3 linked regions of the Diceros bicornis minor genome follow. The protein of the gene in region 1 purifies or fractionates together with the protein of each later gene. This does not show direct contact. Links are inferred from orthologs where the notes say so. Each region holds a gene or a part of one and is shown on either strand. Other genes may lie near its edges.

Region 1 (7,895 bases):
AAATCAAGATATTAGCTCTGGCAAGTATTATCTTTCCTCTTGTTTCACAGGAAAATGAGCAAAGGCCAATTTCACCACTTGGCTCAGGAACCCATCCCATTTCCAAGTGAACTGCTTCCTAATATTACTGTACTATGAATCTCTCCCCCTGCCCCAGATCATTCCCATCAGCATACCAAAATTCTGTAGTGCCTCTGTTAAATCCCTCCAGCTATGGCCTCACTTCTCCCCTTAACATTTCCTGAAAGAGTTGTTAACACATGCTGTCTCTCCCCTTTATTTCTCACTCAATCTCTAGCCCTAAATGGGCTTCCATCACCATCTGCCCTTCACAAGTTCAGCAACAATCGCCATGTTGCTAAGTCCAGCAGACACCTTTCTGTCATCTTACTTCTCAGCAACATCAGACATGATTCCCCAATCACTTCCTCAAAAAAACTTTCATTTTTTGGGGGCCAGCCCGGTGGCAAAGTGGTTAAGTTCACGTGCTGCTTTGGCAGCCCGGGGTTCCCAAGTTCGGATCCCAGGCACAGACCTACGCACCGCTTATCAAGCCATGCTGTGGCAGCATCCCACATATAAAGTAGAGGAAGATGGGCACGGATGTTAGCCCAGGGCTGGTCTTCCTAGGCAAAAAGAGGAGGACTGACAACAGATGTTAGCTCAAGGCTGATCTTCCTCACCAAAAAAAAAAAAAAAAAAAGAAAAAAAGCAACTTCCATTTTTGGCATCCACTATGTTACAGTGGTATTCCACCCTCATGTAACTTCTGCCTTTGAAGCTTTAAATCCAACGTTGACTTAAAAGAGACTTAAATGATGTAACAGCCAAATGCACTGTTTGAATCTTGTTTGAATTCTAATTCAAATAAACCAACTGTTAAATGACACCCTTCAAACAACCAGAAAAATCTGAATACAGACTATTAGGAAATATTAAAGAATTAGGATTAATTCTACTATGGTTGATAATGATATGGTGGTTATGTAAAAAGTATTTTATCTGTTAGAAATGCATAGTAAAGAATTTACAGGTAAAGTGGCATATTGTCTGAGATGTTTTAAAACTATCACATTAAAAAAAAAGAAAAGTTAAATAAAACAAGATCAGCAAAATATTGGAAACTGTTAAGTTTGGTGATGAGTATACACACATTCATTATATTACTCTCTCTACTTTTTACAAGTTTGAAAACATCCATAACAAAAAGTTAGAGTAAGTTTTATTTGTAATCTGACAATGCTCAAATTTACTTCTCCAGTTCAGAATTGCCCTCTGAAGTCTAAACTCATTACCCTACTGCCTACCTGACATCACCAATTGGCTGTTAGAGAAATCTCAAACTAACGGTCCAAATTTAACATTCCTATTGGTCTCCAGCTCCCATCAGAGAAAAATTACTCCTTGTCTCAGGAAACAGCACCACCATCCACTCAACTGATGTCTCTGTCTAGCCCACTGCCACATCTATTAGCAAGCCTGATCAGGGTGACTTCAAAATTTTTAATCCAGACAACCATGGTCACATCATGGGCTAATGCAACGCCTTTGCAACTGTTTCCAGAGTAGCCCCTGTTCCATTCTTGCTTCTCTGCTTTCCCTCTTCAATCCAGTTCAATTCCTTCTCTACAGAGCAAAGCTTATTAGAATGTTAACCTGAATATGCCATTTCTCTGCTTCAAATTCAACAGTTTCTCTAGCACTTAGAATTAAAACATTAACAAGGCTGCAAGGGCCTACACGGTTGGGCTTTCCTATTACTTTCTCAGTGCCTTGCTTGTTCCTTCATGGTAATTGTCACCAACTCTAATTTATTGATTGATATGTTCACTCTTATTTTTTGTAGATCTCACTAGAATGTAGGGCAGAGGTCCTGTCTGTTTTGTTCACCTGTTCAGTATCCCACACAACACACTCAAATACTTGTATACAGTGTTCAGTGTGGTTTAGTAACATCCTACATGCTGAAGTCCCTTCCCACCAGAGGTTTCATATTTAAGACACAGGATGGGGGTGGGGAGCTCTTATAAAACCTATGCAGAACATACACTACTACTAAGTAACAATGGTTCGCTAATTTCACGAACACGTGCTCTCCAGAAGGAGTCTACGAATTAACAAAATTTTCAGGAGCCAATTTGGAAACACAGAATATCCTTTAACTCATCGTCAATTCACCTGGTTCACTAAACTTGATGGGGAAAACAAGTCGGATCTGACACAAAACTCTAACCACAAAGGGACACGCCAAACTGAGTAGTTCTGAAAATAATCCAATATCCTCAGGTTTTCCGTATTCCAACTGAAAATGATACGATCTACACCTAGGACTTTCCAGACTACTAAATTTAGGGAAGAAGCGAGATCTGACTATTGAGCTCAGATTCACAACGCGATCTGCCACGAACAGCGAGGAGTGGGCGGTCCGATGTGCGTGTAAACACGTGCGCCCTCAGCTTCAGCGACCTCCCCTCCCTTCGGAGCCCACGCGGACACCCTCTCCGCCCCAGGCCCCGGCTCCCCCCGCCGGTTACACAGGCCCTCTACCCACAGCTCCGGGACCGGCAAGCACCCGACCTGTCCGAGTCCGAATCCGAGTCCGAGGTCTCCGGGGAGTCTGGGGTCCGCGCCAGCTCCGCAGCGCCCGGGCCGGTGACGCAGTTCCCTCCGGGTGGAGGTTCCAGCTGCGACTGCGGCGCGAGGTTCCCGCCGGCCGCAAGGCTCGGCGCGAGCGGAGGCGGCTGGCCCCCGGCAGGCTGAGCCTCCGCGGCCTGCCCAGTGTCCGGGGACCCCTCCTCCGACTGTAGTGGCTGCCGTGGCTCCGGGAGAGGAATAGGGCCAGGAGACGGCACTTCCTGACCTTGGCCCACCCCAAAGCCGGCGCCGTGGAATTTCAGAGTTTCCAGCTGAGCAGCGGCGGCCTCCACTACTTCCATGGCGTCACGCCAGACACTCGGTCAGGCTCCCGTTCTGGACCCTCGGACGGGCTAGCAGCTCGCTCACGAAAAGATCAAACAACCTTGGCGGCAGAGGTAACCGAGCCTGGGCCCGACTTCCCGCGTTTCTCTGGTAACTACACGCGGAGATGTCTGCAGACACGCCCCCGCCGTTTACTCTGCGGCACTTCCGGGAGAGCGTATGACGTATCGTGACGCGACTGCGCTCACTGGGGCGGGGCGGAGCCGCAGGACCTGTGGAAACTAGCTCTCCCGCGGCCCTAAACCCGCCGTTTTCACTGCATCGTCGGGACTTCTGCTCACACTGCAAGGGCAGAAGGCTAGACTTTCCTATTGCTGGATCTGTGCAAATTTCGTTCGATGAGAAGATGTGAAGGAGAGATTGTAGGACTGAGGAGATGCCTGATTGTGCGAGGCGCTGTCCATCCGAAACTTGAGCCAGGAAGTCTTGAAAACAGACACTTCTAGCAAACTTCTTTAAAGTTAAATGAAATTAAATTCATCGATAGAAAGTACGTTGACTATTCATCTCAAAAAAATTACTACTACTGTTCCATTTTTTTCCCTCCAAAGCACTCTCAAAGAGAGCAGTAGCGGTGACAGAGTGTTGCTGCTTGTTGATGTTACGGTGATACCTATATTGCAGTTGATGATGCTTCATAGAAAGGGTGGGATGAGACTAAAATGTACTAACTTAGCCTGAGAAACCATTGCTCTAGATCATAAGGAAGGCAAGCAGAAAGTTCTTAGGATTAAGGTAGGGGTCAATTTTCTGGTTTTCTATTAGAGCTTCAATTTATTTATTATTACTCCCATCAGCCCCTCGAGTAATAATAAATAATATTCATTGTTACCATTTTATTAAGCATATATATGTACCAAGGGCTGTACTAAGGATTTTATCAGTTATTCCCTTCGAATTTATTGTGAGCCCTCCACAATAGTAGACCTTCATAGAAGTTTAAGACAAGAGTAACACATAATCTCTGGTTTCAAGGATCTTACGATCTAATAGAAGTAAAAAGGTCAACGCACAGGAGAGAACTAGAAAGATGTTTGAAATGTGGAGTAGAAGATGCAGGTTCAGCAGTAGTTAGAAGTTAAGTAAGACTGATGGGCTGTATCATGGAAATTCTCCAAAGAGAAGCAGGAATTTAAACTTGAGACAGTACTCGCTAATGCAATGATAAAGCAGAGCTCAGTGTTCCCAGCTAAAAAGACCTGTGTCCAAATCTCAGCTCTACCATTTCTTTGTTGGTGTAATGGGTGAGTTTGGGCAGACAGCCTAACATACCTAAATCTCGTTTTCCTTATCTGTAAAATGGAGATAAAAATATTATCTCATTTAGTTCATGTGAACTTTAATTAAGGTTTTATGCAAGAGAATGACATGTGTCATACACATAAGTGTGCAAAGATACTTGATAAGTAGCACAACGCATGAAATGATGAATAAAGTGATATTTTAGTGACATTGATCTTGCAGAGATATGCAGTATGAATTTGAGAAGAGAAGAAATTTGAGTCAGAATGACCCTCCAGCCAGCCAAAAGTCCGTTGCGTTTTTCCAGGAATCAAGTGATGAAAGTCTGAACCAGGGCTAGAATCAGTGAAATAGAGTAAAGGAAATCCCCAACATCAGAAGAAGAGTTAAAGTACTCTAAAATTTCTAACCAAGGAAACTAGAAAGAAGCTGGTATTACCAGTAAATATGGAGAAGTTGGAACAAGATAACGAGTTTATAATGTTGTTTGTCAATGCAAATAATCAATAATCAATCTTTAGTAAGAAATAGAAGAGAGTTCTATTTGAGCCAAGCTGAGGACTAGCCTGGGTTAAGACCTAGCCTCCACCAAGGAAGAAAATGCTTTGGAGAAGCATGGTTTTTGGCACAGTTTATGTACCATTTCAGAACAAGGAACATACATCAAGCATGACAGGGATATGATTCAAGGTATCAAGAAAATATTTTTTTTTAGATTAGCATGTACTCAGTTGGTTGACATGATGCTGGTGCTGCGGGAAGGGAGACTTATCTGGCATCACAAGAAGGGAGGCATTAATTTTTATCTTCAAAGAGCACGTTCCTTATTGTAGAGTAATGATTGAATTCATCCATTACTTTAATGGTGTGCCTGTGAACTGGGCATACAGGAAAGTGAATAAAACACAGTCCTTGCCCTTAGGGAGCTAACAGTTTAGAAGAAAGACAAGTTGGAAATGTGATAAGTACTTGAGTAGAGAAATGTTTGATAGTAGAAGCATGTACTATAGAAGAGGGATGTGCAAATGGGAACACAGAGAGAGAATACTGGGAAAGTTAAGGCAAGTTTTACAATGAGTATGACATTTGAGCTGGGCCTTTAAAGAGAACCATGAATTTGTTAATCTGAGAAAATAGGAGAACTTCATAAGGAAGAATAAATAAGATCATGTAATTTACTGATTAAAACCCTAAATATTTGCGATCACGCTTAGAATAAAATCCAGACTCCCGGCTTTGGTTTTCAAAGCTCTGCCTGATCTGGCTGCCCACATATCCATCTCCTACTACTTTCCCTTCCCTCCGGCCATTCATCTCACTGGTCTTCGTGATCCCTCTTCAACACACCAAGTGCATTCTTTACATATGGCATTTTCACTTTGTTGTTCTCTCTTCTTTTCAAATTAATATGGTTCATTTCCTTATTTTACTCATGTCTGTACTCAGATATAACACCCAAGATAGAACTTTCCAGACCACCCAATCTAAGAGTATCCCCTAATACCAGTCACTCTCTATCTCATTCCTTTTTTTTTTTTTTTATCGTATAGCCATGCACCACATAACGAAGTTTTGGTCAACAATAGCCCGTGTATACCAAGGTGGTCCCGTAAGATTAGTACCATATAGCCTAGGTGTGTAGTAGGCTACACCATCTAGGTTTGTGTAAGTATACTCTATGATGTTCACATGACAAAATCACCTAATGACTCATTTCTTAGAACATATCCCCATTGTTAAGCAACACATGACTGTACATATCTTCACATGAAATTATATTTATTTACTTCTTTATTGTCTCTGTTTTCCCATAAAATTAAGTCTCATGAGCCCAAGATCTTTGTCTAACTCACAGCTGTCTCTCAGTGTCCAGAACCGTAACAAATCCTAAAAATTTTTTCGAATGGAAGAATGAAACAAAAAAGAGAAAACAATAAAGCTTTATGAAACAATCAAGGTAAAGGAGAAATGATTACAGACAAAGGTACAGATGATACCTAAGTTATTCCTTCAATTTAAATGAATCTAATGATTCCTAAGAAATGCTACTGGTTTCCAATAAAAATCTCTTTGTTTTGGGGGTGGAGATGGTCTCTGTACTTCAGGACAAGAATAGCTATACCTCTGCCTAGCTTTAACTAGGTTGCTATTTTGCAACTGATACTTTTTCTAAGTGCTTGAATGTTTCAAAATGTCTTGAATTTACCTACTTCCAGAGCCTGCCTCTCTGCTGCATTATTTCTAACAGCTGCTAAACTTAGCCTGAAGTCTTTCCCTTAGGGCTAAAAGCTAAAATAACTTATTGAAAGAATAAATAGTTTATAGGATCACTATTAAAATCGAGAGTTTGTCTTGAATTAAATTATTAATTAAAAGCCATATTACATTTCAAAGCAAGCAAACAAGTAAAAAACCTAAATATATTCTTTAAAATGCAAAAACATTTATAAGAAGAAATTTGTTTAAAAACAAATAGAATTTTACAAGTTCGCCAGTCTCTACTTATTATAAAGATTGTGAAATTTTACAAAAAGAAAAAACCAGCTGCTAACTAACTCTTACTGCCGTTTGCACTGATTTCCAGTGTCTTGCTACTCAAAATGTGCTGGACGAGCAGCTTATGCACCAGGTGGAAACTTGTTAAAAATGCAGAAGTTCAGGCCCTACTTTCTGAATCAGAATCTGCATTTTAACAAGATTCCCCATGTGATTTGCGTGCACTTGAAAGTTTAAGAAACTCTGCCCTAGTGGCCATGTGAGAATTGGCAACATCCCAGGACTGGTATAGTGCTGGAAAGTAAAAAGAATGAAAGCCTTTTCCAAGAGGAGCTGAAGTGCTGGACCGTTGAGTCTAAGGTGAGTAGACTGACTAGCTCGTTGTCTGTTGATGCTTCTACTTGGATGCCCCTCAAGTACCTCAAACTGTCAAATCCAAAACGGATCTCAGCATCCTTTTCCCCATACTTCCCCTCCTTTATCTCCTATCCTGGTAATGCCACCCACTACCCAGTCACTTACTATGTACTAAATCTCAGCCTCATCAATGCTGTGTGACTTAGTCCAAGTCACTTAATTTTCTCTGTCTGATATTCTTTCACTCATTCATTCAATAAATATTCACCAGGTACCAACTTTGTGTCAGGTGCTGTGTCAGGTGTTGGGAATAAAGTGGTAAACAAAACGGAAAAGGCCCTAGAGCTCGTAGAATTCACAATATAAAATATCAATTTTAATTGATGAAGGATCACCAGAGCAGAGCTCCATAGACCCTTCAGAGTGCATTAGGAGCCAGTCAAGGTGAGGGTTAGGGAATGGGGCGATTGGCATTCCAGATCCCGTACACATGTTGGATTTCAAGTAAGATTTCATCTGAAGAAAGGATTTAGTGGCAAAAAAAAGGAACACAAATAAGTTGAAACCTAAAGCCTTTCCTAGAAATGTCATTTCATAGTCTTTGTTTTTTGTTTCCAATTTTTTTGAATTCTGGAATTTTTATAGATGGCACACTGGTTGATCTTAGTTTATTTCACTGTTTAAAAAGACATGAATTGACACATGTACAGTTCAGTTAGAAGCCTACAATGCCCTTGTTAAATGGGAATGAGAATACTTTCTAATATTTGTCACGTAATGATTAGAAGCACTATTTACCACTCCCTCCACTTTGGGCATTT
Region 2 (7,451 bases), on another chromosome or scaffold:
GGATCCTGGGCGCGCACCGACGCACTGCTTCGCCAGCCATGCTGAGGCCGCGTCCCACATACAGCAACTAGAAGGATGTGCAACTGTACAACTATACAACTAGTATACAACTATCTACTGGGGCTTTTGGGGGGAAAAAAAAGGAGAAGAATTGGCAATATATGTTAGCTCAGAGCTGGTCTTCCTCAGCAAAAATAGAGGAGGATTGGCATGGATGTTAGCTCAGGGCTGATCTTCCTCACAAAAAAAAAAAAAGATATATTGATGTCGAAATAAATTGCCAGAACAGTGTATTATTTAATAGTGTAAACAAACATATCTATATATATACACTTGCATATGCACACAAAAAACTTAATAGTGAATACATCTGGAGAGCTTAAATGAGGGGAATAGGGGTTAGAGAAGAAAGATGTTTAACTTTTCACTTTATACTCTTATGTACTATCTGAAAATTTTTTTAACATAAACATTATCATCTTTAAAATAATAAATTTTAAATTCCAAAGCCAAAACCCTAACCCTAAAGAAACCCGTCTTCCTGAAGTGCTGAGCTGGCTTTTCTAAGCTCTCAGCTTTGTGCAGAAAGGTGTGTCCCAAGCAGCTGTGACTGAGGAAGGGTCCATCCTCCAGAATCCCACTTGATGGTCCCTCTTTCCTCAGGCTTTGTCCTGAACTCTCAGGCCTCATTTCTGAGGAGACACCAATTGTCACTAAGGAAACCAGGCTGGGACGTAAGTTTCCATCGACCATCTTGACTAATACTGGTCATACTAACAGTGACATAACCGGCCTACAAAAAATTAAAGCAGATTTCCAATAAATTGCATAAACGATATATGGTTATTTATATATTTTTTTCTTCTACTTGAACTTCAGCTCCTAAAGTAAGCATCTATCTTGCTAAGTAAAAAGTCAATTAAAAAAGTCACCCTCAATTTAAAAATGGGCAAAGGATCTGAATAGATGTGTCTCCAAAGGTAGGCAAATAGCCAATAAGCACATGAAAAGTTGCTCAGGATCATTAGTCACAAGGGAAATGCAAATCAAAACCACAATGAGATACTACTTCACACCTCCTGGGATTACTATAACGAAGAAGTCAGAGAACAGCAAGTGTTGGTGAGCTTGTGGAGAAACTGGAGCCCTTGTTCACTGCTGTGGGAACGTAAAATGGAGAAGCCGCTGGGGAGAACAGCCTGGCGGTTCCCCAAAACACTCAACACAGAGTTGCCACGGACCCACCAGTTCTAGTTCTAGGGATCTACTCAAGAGGACTGAAAACATATGTCCACACGAAATCTTGTGCATGACTGTTCATAGCAGCACTATTCACAATGGCCAAAAGTTGGAAACAAACCAATCCACTGATGAATGGATAAAACGTGGACTATCCATACAATGGAATGTTATGTAATAACAGAGTAACGACACATGCTACAACATGGATGACCCTTGAGAACATCATGCTCAATGCAAGACGCCAGACACAAGGGCACATACTACACGATTCCATTTCTATGAAATGTCCAGAACAGGGAAATCTATAGAAACAGAAAATTAGAGGTTGCTTAGGGCTGGGAAGGATGAAGGGGTCAGAGGGTGATAGCTAAAGGGTGCAGGGATTCTCTTTGACATGAGAAAATGTCCTCAAATTGACTGTGGTGATGGCTGCACAACTCAGTGAAGCTACTAAAACCATTGCATTGTATACTTTGAACAGGAAAATTATATGGTATGTGAATTATACTGCAATTTAAAAAAAAATCATCCTCTCCAACTTTTAAAAGATGGTGCCTTAGTCCATCTAGGTCTAACTTTCTCACTTTATAGATGAGGCACTGAAGCCTAGAGAGGTTAAATGACTTACCCAAAGCCATTTGTCACTTAGAGCCCTGGTCTACTGTTCATTAGCCATTATGGTTTCACCCACTTTACACTGCTTCAAGCGAGTTCCAGTGGCCATTTGAATAAAATCAGTAAAATCACACAAACCACCTTGGATCCAGCACAGAGCTCTGGGCCTGTTTTAGAAATACACAATATGGTTTACTGAGGACCTGTTTGTTCTTAGCACTTCATTGTCTCACAGCTCAAAAAGCTGACACTCATGACCCAGCCAGGCCGAGGTTCCAGCACTTTCACTACTGAGCCACATCTCATATCCTTTGAGCTAAAGTCTATCGCCAAGTCACAGAGTATGAGCAGAGTGAGGGTGTGAAGACAAATGGATCTGGGTTGAAATCCAGCTTTGTGTGAACTGGATGGAGCCATTCCCTTTTATGGGCTTTAGGAAATTATGAGTAATATAGATACTCTTTGCGAGAGAGATTACATGTAATGTGCTTGGCACGTAAATGTTAACTTCCTCCTTCCATATAAGAACTGAGAGGCCTTAGTGACGGAGACCTCGGTGAGGTCAGTCAGGCACATTTGCTGGAATTTGCTTGAATTGGGTTTCCCAGGGATGAAATTCTCCATTACTCGGCTGGACAGAGTTCATCATGTCCCATGCACACATTTGGCAGTGCCTCTCCCCATTGTGATCCTGACACAGTGTCATTCATCCTACAAGCTGAAAACGTTCACAGGAACGCCACTCAGAAAGAGGAACAGAAAACCACCCTGCAGAGCCCTGCTAGCTGTGTGCTCAGAGGAGCTCTGCTCTCACAGGCTCACTGCCCCTTGGGGACGGCTTCCCAGGGAGGGCCAGAATGGCTACTAAGGAACCTGGGATGAGGGAGAAGTGGGGGATAGAGCAAAGTCATTTGCATTAAGGTAAAGCTGACAGTAGTCACCAGTCCTAAAACTCAGGAAGGGGCTATCTTTTCTTAAAGAAATTCCAAAATGAAAACATTTAAAAGGTCAATTTTTTGTTATATTGTGCAAACTTTGTTTACTTTCAAATTATTTTTTATTGCTTATATAATGTATTTACTTTCTTTCTTTTTTTTGGCAGGGTAAGGAAGATTGGCCCTGAGCTAACATCTGTGCCCATCTTCCTCTATTTTGTATATGGGATGCCACCACAGCATGGCTTGATGAGTGGTGCATAGGTCTGCGACCGGGATCCAAACCTTCGAACCCCAGGCCGCCAAAGCAGAGCGCACAAACTTAACCACTACACTGTGGGGCCAGCCCTATAAATAATGTATTTTCATTGTTCAATATTTTTCTCTTTGTGAAAATTATTTTTCTTATTAAAATATTAAATTAAAAACCTATTTGTTTTTTACTTAATGACTTTGCACTTGGTTACAGGGCCACTTTTTAAGTTGGCTTAACTGACCTGCACTGCTATGGCCACCTGTAGGCTTCTAAAGTTCCACTGACTGGCCTGTTCCACCACCACAAAAATAGCAGGCCTATCACTGCATAATCAAAGGCAATTAATTTGCAGCAATTATCTAATTGATATTCACCCAGTGTTCCAAGACGCAGTGGAAGAAGTAAGTTGGAGATACAAAATCCACCAGTCTAGGCCTACTCCCCTCTCCAGCGTCACCGTCCACTAAGCCTTTACAGATAACTTTACACTGGGCGCCTACTCAGAGTCCCGCGCTCCCCCGCCCAAGTCGCAGCCCCAGTGTGTTCCCCACAGTGTTCACGGCTGCACTCATGCTGTCTGCCCCTCAGCTCAGCTAGCTGTCTCCGCGATGCCTCTCGTGTGTGTGATGCCAGGCGGTGTAGGAACCACGAGGAAAACAGAGTTAGGGGATGCGGTGGGGGGGGGGGACTGCAATTTTAGATCAGGTGGTCCGGGGAACCTTTCCCGTGGGTAACATTTGAGCAGACCCCTGCGGGAAGAAGAGGAGTGAGGCACGGGCTTTCTGGGGAAAGGCGGTCCAGACTCCGGCGCTCAGGGAGTGGGGCCATCCCTTGCCGTAAAAGGGAAAGCAGAGTGTGAGAAACTGTGCTAGAACGAAGAACCCTTAGCAGCGTCAGGGTTTACCTTAACCTTGGCACCTAGGGCACACCACCCAGGACCAAATGAGGATCAGACTCTAAGGTGGCGTGGAATCCCACCGAGCAGACTGCCCCTTCCTCTACTCGGGTCCCAGATCCCGCCGTCAGGCAAGGATCGCGTTCCCTTAGTCGTGGTCATGCCCCAAAAACACTGCCTCCTCCGCCCGCTCCTGTAGGTACAGGTTACCGGGGCTCTCAGATCCGCCTAAGCCGCTGTCCTAGCCCCGCCTCCTTCTGGCCCCGCCTCCCTCCGGGCTCCGCCCCCTCGCCTCGGAGTCCCTCGGCCCCGCCCCTAATCCGCTTCGCCCCGCCTCTCTGTGGGGGGAGTGGCCCCGCCCCTACGGCCGAGACTCCGCCCCCCTCAGCTCCCTCTTTAAGGAGCGGAGCGTCCACAATTGGTCGGAGTCTGAGACCTGGTCTCCTGGTTGGTTGTAGTATACGGCCGATTCTCCGCAGAGGGGATGACCCGGAAGTGATTCCTCCGCCGCGTGGACTCGTCGCCGGGGGACTGTTGCCGCGGCAGCTGTGATGACCAAGATAAAGGCCGATCCGGACGGGCCGGAGGCTCAGGCCGAGGCGTGCTGCGGGGAGCGCACTTACCACGAGCTGCTGGTGAACCTGAACCCCATCGCGCAGCCCCTGGCTTCTCGCCGCCTCACGCGGAAGCTCTACAAATGCATCAAGAAAGGTGTGGCGGCGCCGGCCGGCCAGTCTGGGGGCGCGGGGGGCGCGGGGGCGGGGGGCCCAGGGCCCCGACTGATTCTTCTGTTGTTTCAGCCGTGAAGCAGAAGCAGATTCGACGCGGGGTGAAGGAGGTCCAGAAATTTATCAATAAGGGCGAGAAAGGGTAAGAACGCTCCCGCCGGACTTTGCATTTCTAAACGGTAACGAGGGTAGTAGTGCTCGGTACAAGTGCTCTGACTCAGCCCCGCGTGCGGAAGATAAGCAAGCAGTTGGTGAATTCCCTTCAGTACAGCTACCGATACATCACTTAGACGAGCTCAGAGGGACACCATGGGGCACGTGAATTCCATGGGAAGCGACTTGTATACACCACTCACTTAGGGTAGACCCCAGCTTCATTCACTCAGCGACTATCTATCGAGTGTCTGTTTTTTTTCCGGCACTGTGCTATCTGGAGACAATGACATTAATCAAATAATCAGACGCACATTTACAAGTTGTGCGATAGGTAACTATGAACGAAAAGTACAGGGTGCAGTGAGAATGACTTCGTTCCCCCTCGTCTTTCTTTTCTGGCATTTATCAGAATCTGAAACTTATTTGCATTTTTATTCCCTGTTTCTCCCACTCAGGCCAAAGGCCGTAAGCTCTTTGAGAACAGGATAAAGCCTCTCACTGCTTTCTCCCCTGAAGTGTCTGGTACACTGAGGTGCCCAAGAGATAAATAATGCTGGGGGATTTGATGCTCAGTAGGGACCTACGCGGGGGTAGCTGAGGTGTGAAGATATAGGGATTAGTTTTGGGGGTTCTGCAAGGAAGATGGGTACCAGGGCACGAGAAAGAGTAGTGGTGGGCAGAAGTGCTACCTTCTCATGGGGCTTTGTAAGCTTGTGGTAAGTATAGTTTAGTTTTTGGACTCAGCTTTGAGAGGCCATTGAGAGTTAAAGCCAGGATGTGACATAATTATGTTTACCCCTTAAGAAGATTTTTTTGGCAACTTAAGAAGGATCAGAGATGCAAGAGTAGACTTGAGGAAGTTGAAACAGGAGGCTGCTCTAGTGTACGTGACGGCAGTTTGGATTAGGTTGGTGATGGCAGATGGAGAGAACTGAAGTGGATGGATCTGAGAGGACTTGCCGACGTAGAATCAGGAGGTATGGATTCCAGCTGAATGGACAGAGGGCCTGCTTACTGAGATACTGGACAGTGGAGGGGGGGCCGGGAAGATCCCGAGTTTGGTTTTAGACAAGTTGGGGTTTTTTCTTTTTGTGCTGAGGAAGACTGCCCGGAGCTAACATCTCTGCCCATTGTCCTCTATTTTCTATGTGGGATGCTGCCACAGCATAACTTGATGAGTGGTGCGTAGGTCCGTGCCCAGGATTCCCACCTGTGAACCCTAGGCCACTGAAGTGCGTGAACTTAACCACTATGCCACCGGGCTGGCCCCTTAGACAAGTTTTTGAGGCACCTTTTAGACACGTGACCCCTCTCCCCACCAGAACCATCAAATAGGCAAATGGCTGTATGGGTCTGGAGCTTGGAAGAGAGAGGGCCAGGCTGGAGAAACAGATTTGGCAGTTGTCAGCACATGCATGGCACTTGACGCCATGGCTGTGGCTGGGGTCAGCTGGGGAGAAGGTACTGAGAGGGCAGCCAAGGACCAGGCTGAAAGGAACACCAGCATTTAAAGTCTACTCAGAGGAAGAGGAGAGCCCATGAGGCAAAAGGAGAACCAGGAGAGAGTGGAAGCCGTGCTCTGAACCAAGAGCTCTTTCCTTGTGTTTGCCTATCTCCCCCCCGGAGAACAGACTCTTCCTCTGTCTTCAGGGCTCATGAGGCCCTTGCCCCAGAGCCCTAGCACCTTGCCAGCTAGAAGCCCTAGCTAAGGATTCTCTGGCAAACTTTCATTGGTTCCCTGTCACTCTTGGGACTGAGCCCATGCTTCCTAGGCTGGCACTCAGGGTCTTTGGGTGTGGTCCCTGCCAATCTCTCTAGCCCTCTCTGCCCTGGTCCCTATCCTGGATTCCAAAGCCATCCCAGGCTCCTAATAGCCAGCCCCTGTGCATCTGGTGCCATTCTGATTCTCTCAGCCTTAAATGCTTTCCCCGCCCTCAGCCCTTCCGTGGGCTGCCTGTCAGAAATTCATCATTCAGCTTTCTGTTCAAGTGTTGCCTCCTGAATCCTTTTTTGACTCTCCAAGAAGAGCTGAGCTCTTGCTCCTTGGCGTCCCTCCCATACCTCATCTGTCCCAGTGCAATACCACTTGTCAAACTTGGTGGCATTTACTTGTTGCAAAGAAATAGAGATCAGCTCCCCAGAGGCGTGCACTCACCAAACACAAATCTGCAAGCACTTTCAGAGGTTGAGAGGCCCGTATGAATAACTGGGCTTCTTGAGGGCAAGGGCCATCTTATCCGTCTCTGCACCCCCAAGGCCCAGTCCAGAGGTAGCACCTACAGCTGAAAGAGGGAATGAGCAAGCTAGAAACAACGTTGTTTCTCGTTTCAGGATCATGGTTTTGGCAGGAGACACGCTGCCCATTGAGGTGTACTGCCATCTCCCGGTGATGTGTGAGGACCGGAACTTGCCCTACGTCTATATCCCCTCTAAGACGGTGAGGAGCACAGGAGCCCCTGACCTGGGTCAGCACTAGAGGATGGGGTCTGGGATTGGGTCTGTGGAACAGGCCATCATGGGAAAGAGCCCAAGCTTTTGAGTTAAGACAGGCCTGGATGGATTCTTGGCTCTGCTCCTTCCTAGTTGGGGAACTGCAGATAAAGTTCCTTCTCTGCACCTTGGTT
Region 3 (7,656 bases), on another chromosome or scaffold:
CCCCCTAAGATTGAGAACAAGGCAAGGATATCTGCTCTCACTACTCTTATTCAATGTAGTATTGGAAGTTCTAGCCAGTGCAACAGGGCGAAAAAAAAAAAAAAGAAATAAATAAAAGGCACACAGATTGGGAAGGAAGAAATAAAACTGTCTCAATTTACAGATGATATAATTGTCCTCATAGAAAATCCCAAGGAATCTACAGAAAAAAGTCCCATATAATAAGTGAGTTTTACAAGGTTGCAGGACACAAGATCACCACATAAATCTCTTCACACAATTTCAAGGCTTATTATACAGCTACAGTAATCCAGACTGAGTGATATTGGTAGAGGAATAGATATAGATAAATGGAATGGAATGGAGAACCCAGAAATAGACCCACATAAATTCACCCAACTATTTTTTGACAAAGTTACCTTTTGTACCTTTGAATTGCAAAGGTACAAAAGCAATTCAATGGAGGAAGGATAGTCTTTTCAACAAATGGTGCTGAAGCAATTGGACATCCATAGCCCAAAAAAGAAAAAGAAAAAGAAATTTAACCCAAACCTCACACCTTATACAAAAAATTAACTCAAAGTGGATCATATATTTATATGCAAAATGTAAAACTATAAAACTCTTAGAAGACAACATAGGAGAAAATATTTGAGACCTAGGACCTGGTGATGAGTTCCTAGACATGATACCAAAAGCACAATCCATAGAAGAAAAAAATTGATAAACTGGGCTTCATAAAAATTAAAACTTTTGCTCTACAAAATACCTTGTTAAGAGTATAAAAAGACAAGCTACAGACTGGGAGAAAATGTTTGCAAATCGTATATCTGCCAAAGGACTCATAACAAGAATACACAAAGAACTCTCAAAACTCAATAGCAAAAAACAAACACTAATAATCCAATTAGAAAATGGGTAAAGGATATAAAGAGACATTTCACTGAAGAGGATATACAGATAGCAAATAAACTTGTGGAAAGATGTTCAGTATCATTAGCCATTAGGGCAATGCATATTAAAACCACAATGAGATACCATTACATACCTATCAGAATGGCTAAAATTTAAAAAATCAGCAGAATCCTCACATTGATTTCCTGACCCATGGAATGACCCAATCACGGCAGAAAGGCCCAAGTGGCAACCCCTGGAGCTCCACCTTCCTACCAGAGTACAAATCAAAAGAAATATCACATACTTAGGGGACAATGTCAGAAACCAGTTCCATCATCAAAGACTTGAAGAATGCCAGGAAGGAAATTCCTGTCACATTCCCATTTAATTCACCAGTTTGGCCTTCACAGCAGTTGGTTGGGTCTTGCTGAATCTGGCAGTTTTAAACCAGGGCTACAAAATTCTTTGACACTCCTCTCATTGAGAGGTGGGGTTGATGACTCCTCCCCTTGAACCTGGGTAGGCTTGTGACTGCTTCAACCATACAATACAGCAGAAATGATGCTATGAGACTTTCAAGGCCAAGCCACAAAAGATTATGCAGGTTTATGCCTTCTCCACTCTAACATTTGCTTTTGAGCCTTGAGCCACCAAGTATGGAGTCTGACTACTTTGAGGCTGCCATGCTGTAAGGAAGTCCAAGCCACGTGGAGAGGCCGTATGTAAGCAGGTGCTCCTGTCCAGTGAAACTCAGCCTTTCAGCTGAATTCTCAGCATAATCAGAATCTGTCAGCATAATAAAATGGTTGTTTAATGACACTAAGTTTGGGAATGTTTTGTTATTCAGCTGACAGATTACGTCAAGAAATTCCAACAGGGCACAGTGAGAATGTCTTCTCTCTGCTCCATAATACCTGTGGTCTTAGCTGAGATGATTCAATGGCTGGGGGTGACCAGATGGCTGAAGGCTATAATCTTATGGAAGCTTCCTCACTCGTATGCCTGTTGCCTGTACTAGGATGCCTATTCTGGCTATTTCATATGAGTGGAATCATACAATATTTGTCCCTGTGTGTCTGGCTTATTTCATTTAGCATGATGTTTTCAAGGTTCATCCATGTTGTAGCATGTATCAGTACTTCATTCTTTTTTGTGACTGAATAATATTCCATTGTATGGCTATACCACATTTTGTTTGTCCCTTCATCTTTAGATGGACATTTGGGTTGTCTCTGCCTTTTGGCTATTGTGAATAATGCTGCTATGAATATACGTGTACAAGCATCTGTTTAAACATCTATTTTCAATTTTCTTGGGTATATACACCTAGGAGTGGAATTGCTGAGTCATATGGCAACTCTATATTTAACCTTTTGAGGAACTGCCAGACTGTTTTCCCCAGAAGCTGTACCATTGTACTTGATGGTGGAGTGCTGCTGCTCATGCCTGACTTGATAACTTGGTCAGTCAAACAATACCCAGTTCATGATGTGTAGCTCAGTTCTTAAGATCATTTGTATCACATAGTCATTCAGTTTCAGTAAAGGGCTAAAGCAAGTCAGGGGCTTTTCCTCCCAGCAAATTGTGTGTGTGTGTGTGTGTGTGTGTGTGTGTGTGTGTGTGTGTGTAGGTCTTAGCTTTATTTTTATCTCCAATTCCAGAGGCCTCAGCTGTGATTCTCTTATCTAGGTTTGGAAAAGGCTCTGTGTACCATCCTAATGGGTATGCCACCTCCAGAAAGAGGCCCACTAAGCATCGTGCTTCTTTCTTAGGAGGAGTGGGTTCAAGGTACAGCAACTTGGTCTTCTCTTCTGTCTGTCTGTCTTTGCCCTTCTCATCCAAGGACAATTGTCATTGGATTTGGGGTCCACCTGATGATCTCATGTCGAGATCCTTAACTTAATTACATCTACAAAGATCCTTTTTCCAAACAAGGTCACATTCCTAGGGTCCAGGGGTTAGGACATATGTTTTGGTGAGGAAGATTGGTTCTGAGCTAACATCTGTTGCCAATCTTCCTCTTTTTGTATGTGGGAGGCTGACACAGCAGGGCTTGATGTATGTCCCCACCCAGGATCCAAACCCACGAACCCCGGGCTGCCAAAGCAGAGCTCACAAACTTAACCACTATGCCAACAGGCCAGTTGGGGGGGCTACTCTTTACTCCACTACAGATGGGAAGCCACTGAAGGGCTTTGAGCAGAGGAGGAACATTACAGTTTAATGGCTCTTTCCAGCTGCTGTGTCGAGAAGACACTACAGTTAGAAAAAGTAGAAGCAGGGGAAACAGCAGATGGCCACTGGAAAAATCTAGGAGAGCCATAATGATGGCATGGACTACAGTGACAGCAGTGAGGGTAGTGAAAAACCATCAGATTCTGGATTTCTTTTGAAAGCAAAGCTGACAGGCTTTGCTAACAGATTGGATGAGGAGTATTGGAGAAAGATGAAGCCTATATGAGTACTATTGATGAATACCTCAAAATTATTCAGCCAAATATGTACCAATGAAGCATTATAAAATAATGGGGGAAGTAATGAACTCCAGATGGATTGGTTGATACTGGCGATTTTGGTTATCTACAAAATGTCAGTTTAGATGATTATTGCCTTGGCATACACCAAAATAAATTCTAGATAGAATAAAAAAGCTAAATAAGGAAAAACCAATCATCTATTTTAACCCCAGTAAAATAAAACTGAAAAATTTCTAATTTTTGGATGGCAAAGGAGGAACGGAAGAAAAGCAAAGTCATTGGAAAAGATAACGGCAAAAGATTCCATTTACAATCGCAATAAAGAATTAAGTAACTAGGGATTAATCAAGTCCACCGAGGCTAGGTTAGGAGCCCCCGCTTGAGAGAGAGAAGAGTGAGAAGAGCACCAAAGACAGAAGGGAAGAGGGCTTGAACCAACAGCTGCTACTTCCTGGCTGTCCAATACTGCAGCCACTAGCTAACTGTGACTATTGAGCTCTTGACATGGAGCCCCGTCGTGGAGTTCAAAGCGAGGTGCGCTGTAAGTGTAAAACACACACAGGAAAGACTTGGTACGAAAGAAAAAGAATGTAAAATATCCCATTCATAATGGTGTATAATGGTCGTGTTGAAATGTGTTGAAATGGTAATATTTCGGATCGGTGGGTTAAATAAAATTCATTATTAAAATCATTTTCATCTTTTTCTTTTAACTTTTTTTCCACGTGGCTGCTGGAAAATTGAAAAGCCCACAAGTGGCTCGCACTCTATTCCTATCGGCCAGCGCCGCTCTAGCTGGATGGGAACTGCAAGCAGCAGAGTGCTTTCAACTTCTCTGTGCCTCGACAGCTTAATTTTTCAATCGGGACTGATCCGACACCAACCTTCAACGGTCGGCGAGAGGAAGCAACGAGCTACTGCTAACAGAGCGCTCAGCCAAGCGTCTAAGTGCCCAAGACGGGCTTAAACGCAGCTAAGGTGTGCGAACTGCGGCCGGGGCCACGCCCACAGGCTACGGGCAGCAGGGGCGGCCTGCGCATGCGCTCCCAGGCTGAGCCGCTGGGGGCGGGGACGCGGCACAATGCGCACGCGCGTTCGCACAACCTCAGGGGCCCAGCCAGCCAATGAGATTGTGCGTGCGCGCTTCGGCCTCTGACCGCCCCCCCACCCCCGCAGCCTGGCCCCGCCCCCCCCCGCCCCCCCCGTGCGGTACGCACAGGGTGGCGCACAGGTGGGCGGGGCCTAGCGGCGTGGCCTGACGGCGGCGGGAGTCTGTGGTCGCTCTCTCGGCCGTGGCCCACGCGGCTGGCTCGCTCTGCGGGGCAACATGGCGGACACGGAAGGTAAGGGTCGTTCCCTCGCGGGTGGCCGGGTCAAGTGCCCCGGGCTGGAACCAGCTCCGCAGGCTGAGAGAGCCGGGAGTGGTGGGGTATGGCGTCGGGTCCCGAGTTCTCCGCTAGCTCCAGCCGCCGGGCCGACCCCCTCGCCGCTGGGCCTCTTGCCGCCCTTGCCTCTTGGCCCTGGCTCCACGGGGGAGGGCAAGAGAGCGAGAAGCCCTGGCGGTGAAGTGGCGCCGCGAGGCCGGGATCTCCCGCGGATGGCACAGCCCCCTTAGGGCCCTGGTCGTCGTCGGCCGTGCCGGCGACCTCGCGGTGGCGGGAGACCTGGTAGTATCTGTGCCGCCGCCGCCAGCCCGGACGCCGCAGTCAGCGCCAGGCGATGAGGGGAGGAAAGAATGGTGGGAACAGGCGGGAAAAAAAGGGGCGAGGGGCGCGGGCGTAGCTCTGAGTCGTAAGCAAGTTCTAGACGCCAAAAGCTCTGGGGGATAGTTGAGCACTCATTTATGGAACTTTCTGGCCCACGGCTCGAGCGCTTCTGCAGCACGTTTAAGCCCCGCCAGGGCCACGTGGTGAACCGGAATGGAAGCCGACACGTGCGACTGCTTGCAGTAGCTAACCGAGCCATGCAACCCACGCGTTTGGTCTTACACACTTTGTTTTCTCTAGTAATTCTAGACCAAACATCCATTTTCTACCTGCCCTGATTTCATTTTCTAATTTAAACTTTGTTGCCTTTATTTTCGGGGAAAACTTCCAAATCTTGTGTTTTTTTAGTATTTATTTTGCCGAAAAAGCATAAGAAGAAAAAGGAGCGGAAGTCGTTACCAGAAGAAGATGTAGCAGTGAGTAGGAATACGTTTTACTTTGCTTGGACTAAAAAATGTTCCTTAGATAACAAATTACAGAAAAGAACTGCTTTTAAAGGTTTCTAAGGAATGGGCTGGAATTGGTTGGTTGTTGTGTAGAAACTGCACAACCCCAGCCAACTTAGAGTCTGTCCGGTCAGGTGTAGTTTGCTCTCTCACCTGTAGACCCACCATCCCTCTTGCTCTTTAAATAGCAGTACCTATCTTGGTGGTACTTCACTTACCATTTTAAGATCCTAGTTCATTTCTTCTCTTTCCCATGGAGGTTCCAGGGAAGAAGCATAGACTACTTTGTTTTCTGTTTTAAAGGCATAGACTTCTGTGGTAGTAATGGAATTGTTCAAAATCAGATGGGAAGTCTAATAGGGTGTATTTTTGTCCTGTGCAAGGAAATACAGCATGCTGAAGAATTTCTTATCAAACCTGAATCCAAAGTGGCTCAATTGGACACATCTCAGTGGCCCCTGTTGCTAAAGGTATGTGGTTAAGATTATGCATCAGGTCAGTGCCTGGCTTTTACATTATGTCTAAGTGTTAAATAGTTAAGAGTGCTTAATGCCAGCATTGTTGACTTAGGAAATACTATATGATACAGTCTAAAGCAGTGTTCCTCAAGGTGTCTGGGATGAAGGACCAGGTTATTTTTTTTTCTTTTTCAATGGATCTAACACTGTTGTAGAATACAGTTAAGATGTCGCAGCAACGTCAAAGTGCTATCAAAGTTCATAAACAATTATTTCTTGGTTTCTGTACCTAACTCCACCTCACAGACCTGTACCAGTTTGTGGGCCACACTTGGAATAGGACTGCTTTAATACTTGAGAGCATGGGCTTTGAAGCCAGACCAGTTTGAGTCAGGCAGTATGTGACCTTGGGCAGTCATTTAACCTCTCTGAGGCTGTTTGCTCATATCTTCTCTTAGGAAGGCAAGCTGAGGGCTGCAGGAGGTAATCCATGAAAGGTGTTTAGCCACAGTGCCTGGCATGTAACATGTCCCCTAGAAATTATTGACTGTTGATTGGGTTTTAAATAGGGTAGTCAGTAATGAGGTGAATTAGAAGTTTCGCAAACGACTTAATGGGCACCTGCTATGAGATTAGAAGGACAAGTTAGAGTAGAAAAAGTTATTGAGACACCCCTTGACAAAGTGTTTTAATAAACCAATGGATATGAGGTAAAAGAGTGAGATTTGCTTATATAATTCAACACAGTTGAGTTTCTGCTTGGCCAGACATGTCTGCCATTTAGATAGCATCTGCTTTTCTTTTTTTTTTTTAACTTATTTATTTTTAATTTTATTTATTTATTTGTCCCCCAAAGCCCCAGTAGATGGTTGCGTGTCATAGCTGCACATCCTTCTAGTTGCTGTATGTGGGACGCGGCCTCAGCATGGCCAGAGAAGTGTTGCGTTGGTGCTCGCCCGGGATCCGAACCCGGGCCGCCAGTAGCAGAGTGCACGCACTTAACCGCTAAGCCACAGGGCCGGCCCACATCTGCTTTTCTATTGTAGGCCCTGGGGATATGCTAGTGAACAAAATAGACAATGTCTTTACTGTCGTGAAACTTAAAATCTAGGAATGGGAGAGAGTTAAAAAATAATTGCTATTTGTGTGTAAGTACCATGATGAAACTAAACTGGGTGATAGAAAAGATGGGCTTCAATTGAGGGGAGATCTTTCAGACCAGTGGTGTCCAGCCTCAAGCCTTGGAAAGGAGGAGAATGAAAAGGAGCACAGATCGGAGCATCTGAAGCAAGAACAAGTTGGTCATGTTTGAGAAACATTGTTGCCAGTCCACCTCAGTTTGGTTATCTTGTCCCTGAGAAAATCAAAGCTAGTCCATATTTTATTCATAAGGCCGCACAGTGAAGCCTAGTCTGTTCTGTAGTACCCCAAGAAGTCTCTTTCTAGAGGAGTGATCAAATTTGTCTTATTCTTACTCATAATGGGTAATTTTTCCTGAATATAAGGAGGCTTAACAGTGTCACAGCAGATAATTAAAATATAGGAGCAAAATCCAAGTTTATGAACTTGAAGGGTAACCATATCATGGTTGATGGTAGTGCAGACTCTTATT

What was found.
Region 2: the proteins of NAF1 (region 1) and NHP2 purify together in Homo sapiens (affinity purification with western blotting; 3 studies listed by BioGRID and IntAct, with this or other methods). This does not show direct contact. The link is inferred for Diceros bicornis minor from reciprocal best matches to the Homo sapiens genes NAF1 and NHP2.
Region 3: the proteins of NAF1 (region 1) and DKC1 purify together in Homo sapiens (co-immunoprecipitation; 7 studies listed by BioGRID and IntAct, counting the BioPlex papers as one, with this or other methods). This does not show direct contact. The link is inferred for Diceros bicornis minor from reciprocal best matches to the Homo sapiens genes NAF1 and DKC1.

Annotation. Positions count from the first base shown.
Region 1 is NC_080750.1:50,389,446-50,397,340, forward strand, and holds the start of NAF1 (H/ACA ribonucleoprotein complex non-core subunit NAF1), read right to left. Parts: upstream 3,085-7,895; 5' UTR 2,937-3,084; coding exon 2,578-2,936; intron 1-2,577. UniProt on the Homo sapiens protein: RNA-binding protein required for the maturation of box H/ACA snoRNPs complex and ribosome biogenesis.
Region 2 is NC_080740.1:90,985,754-90,993,204, reverse strand, and holds the start of NHP2 (H/ACA ribonucleoprotein complex subunit 2), read left to right. Parts: upstream 1-4,410; 5' UTR 4,411-4,494; coding exon 4,495-4,654; intron 4,655-4,743; coding exon 4,744-4,813; intron 4,814-7,158; coding exon 7,159-7,264; intron 7,265-7,451. UniProt on the Homo sapiens protein: Required for ribosome biogenesis and telomere maintenance. Part of the H/ACA small nucleolar ribonucleoprotein (H/ACA snoRNP) complex, which catalyzes pseudouridylation of rRNA.
Region 3 is NC_080781.1:139,220,990-139,228,645, reverse strand, and holds the start of DKC1 (H/ACA ribonucleoprotein complex subunit DKC1), read left to right. Parts: upstream 1-4,619; 5' UTR 4,620-4,701; coding exon 4,702-4,717; intron 4,718-5,488; coding exon 5,489-5,556; intron 5,557-5,969; coding exon 5,970-6,056; intron 6,057-7,656.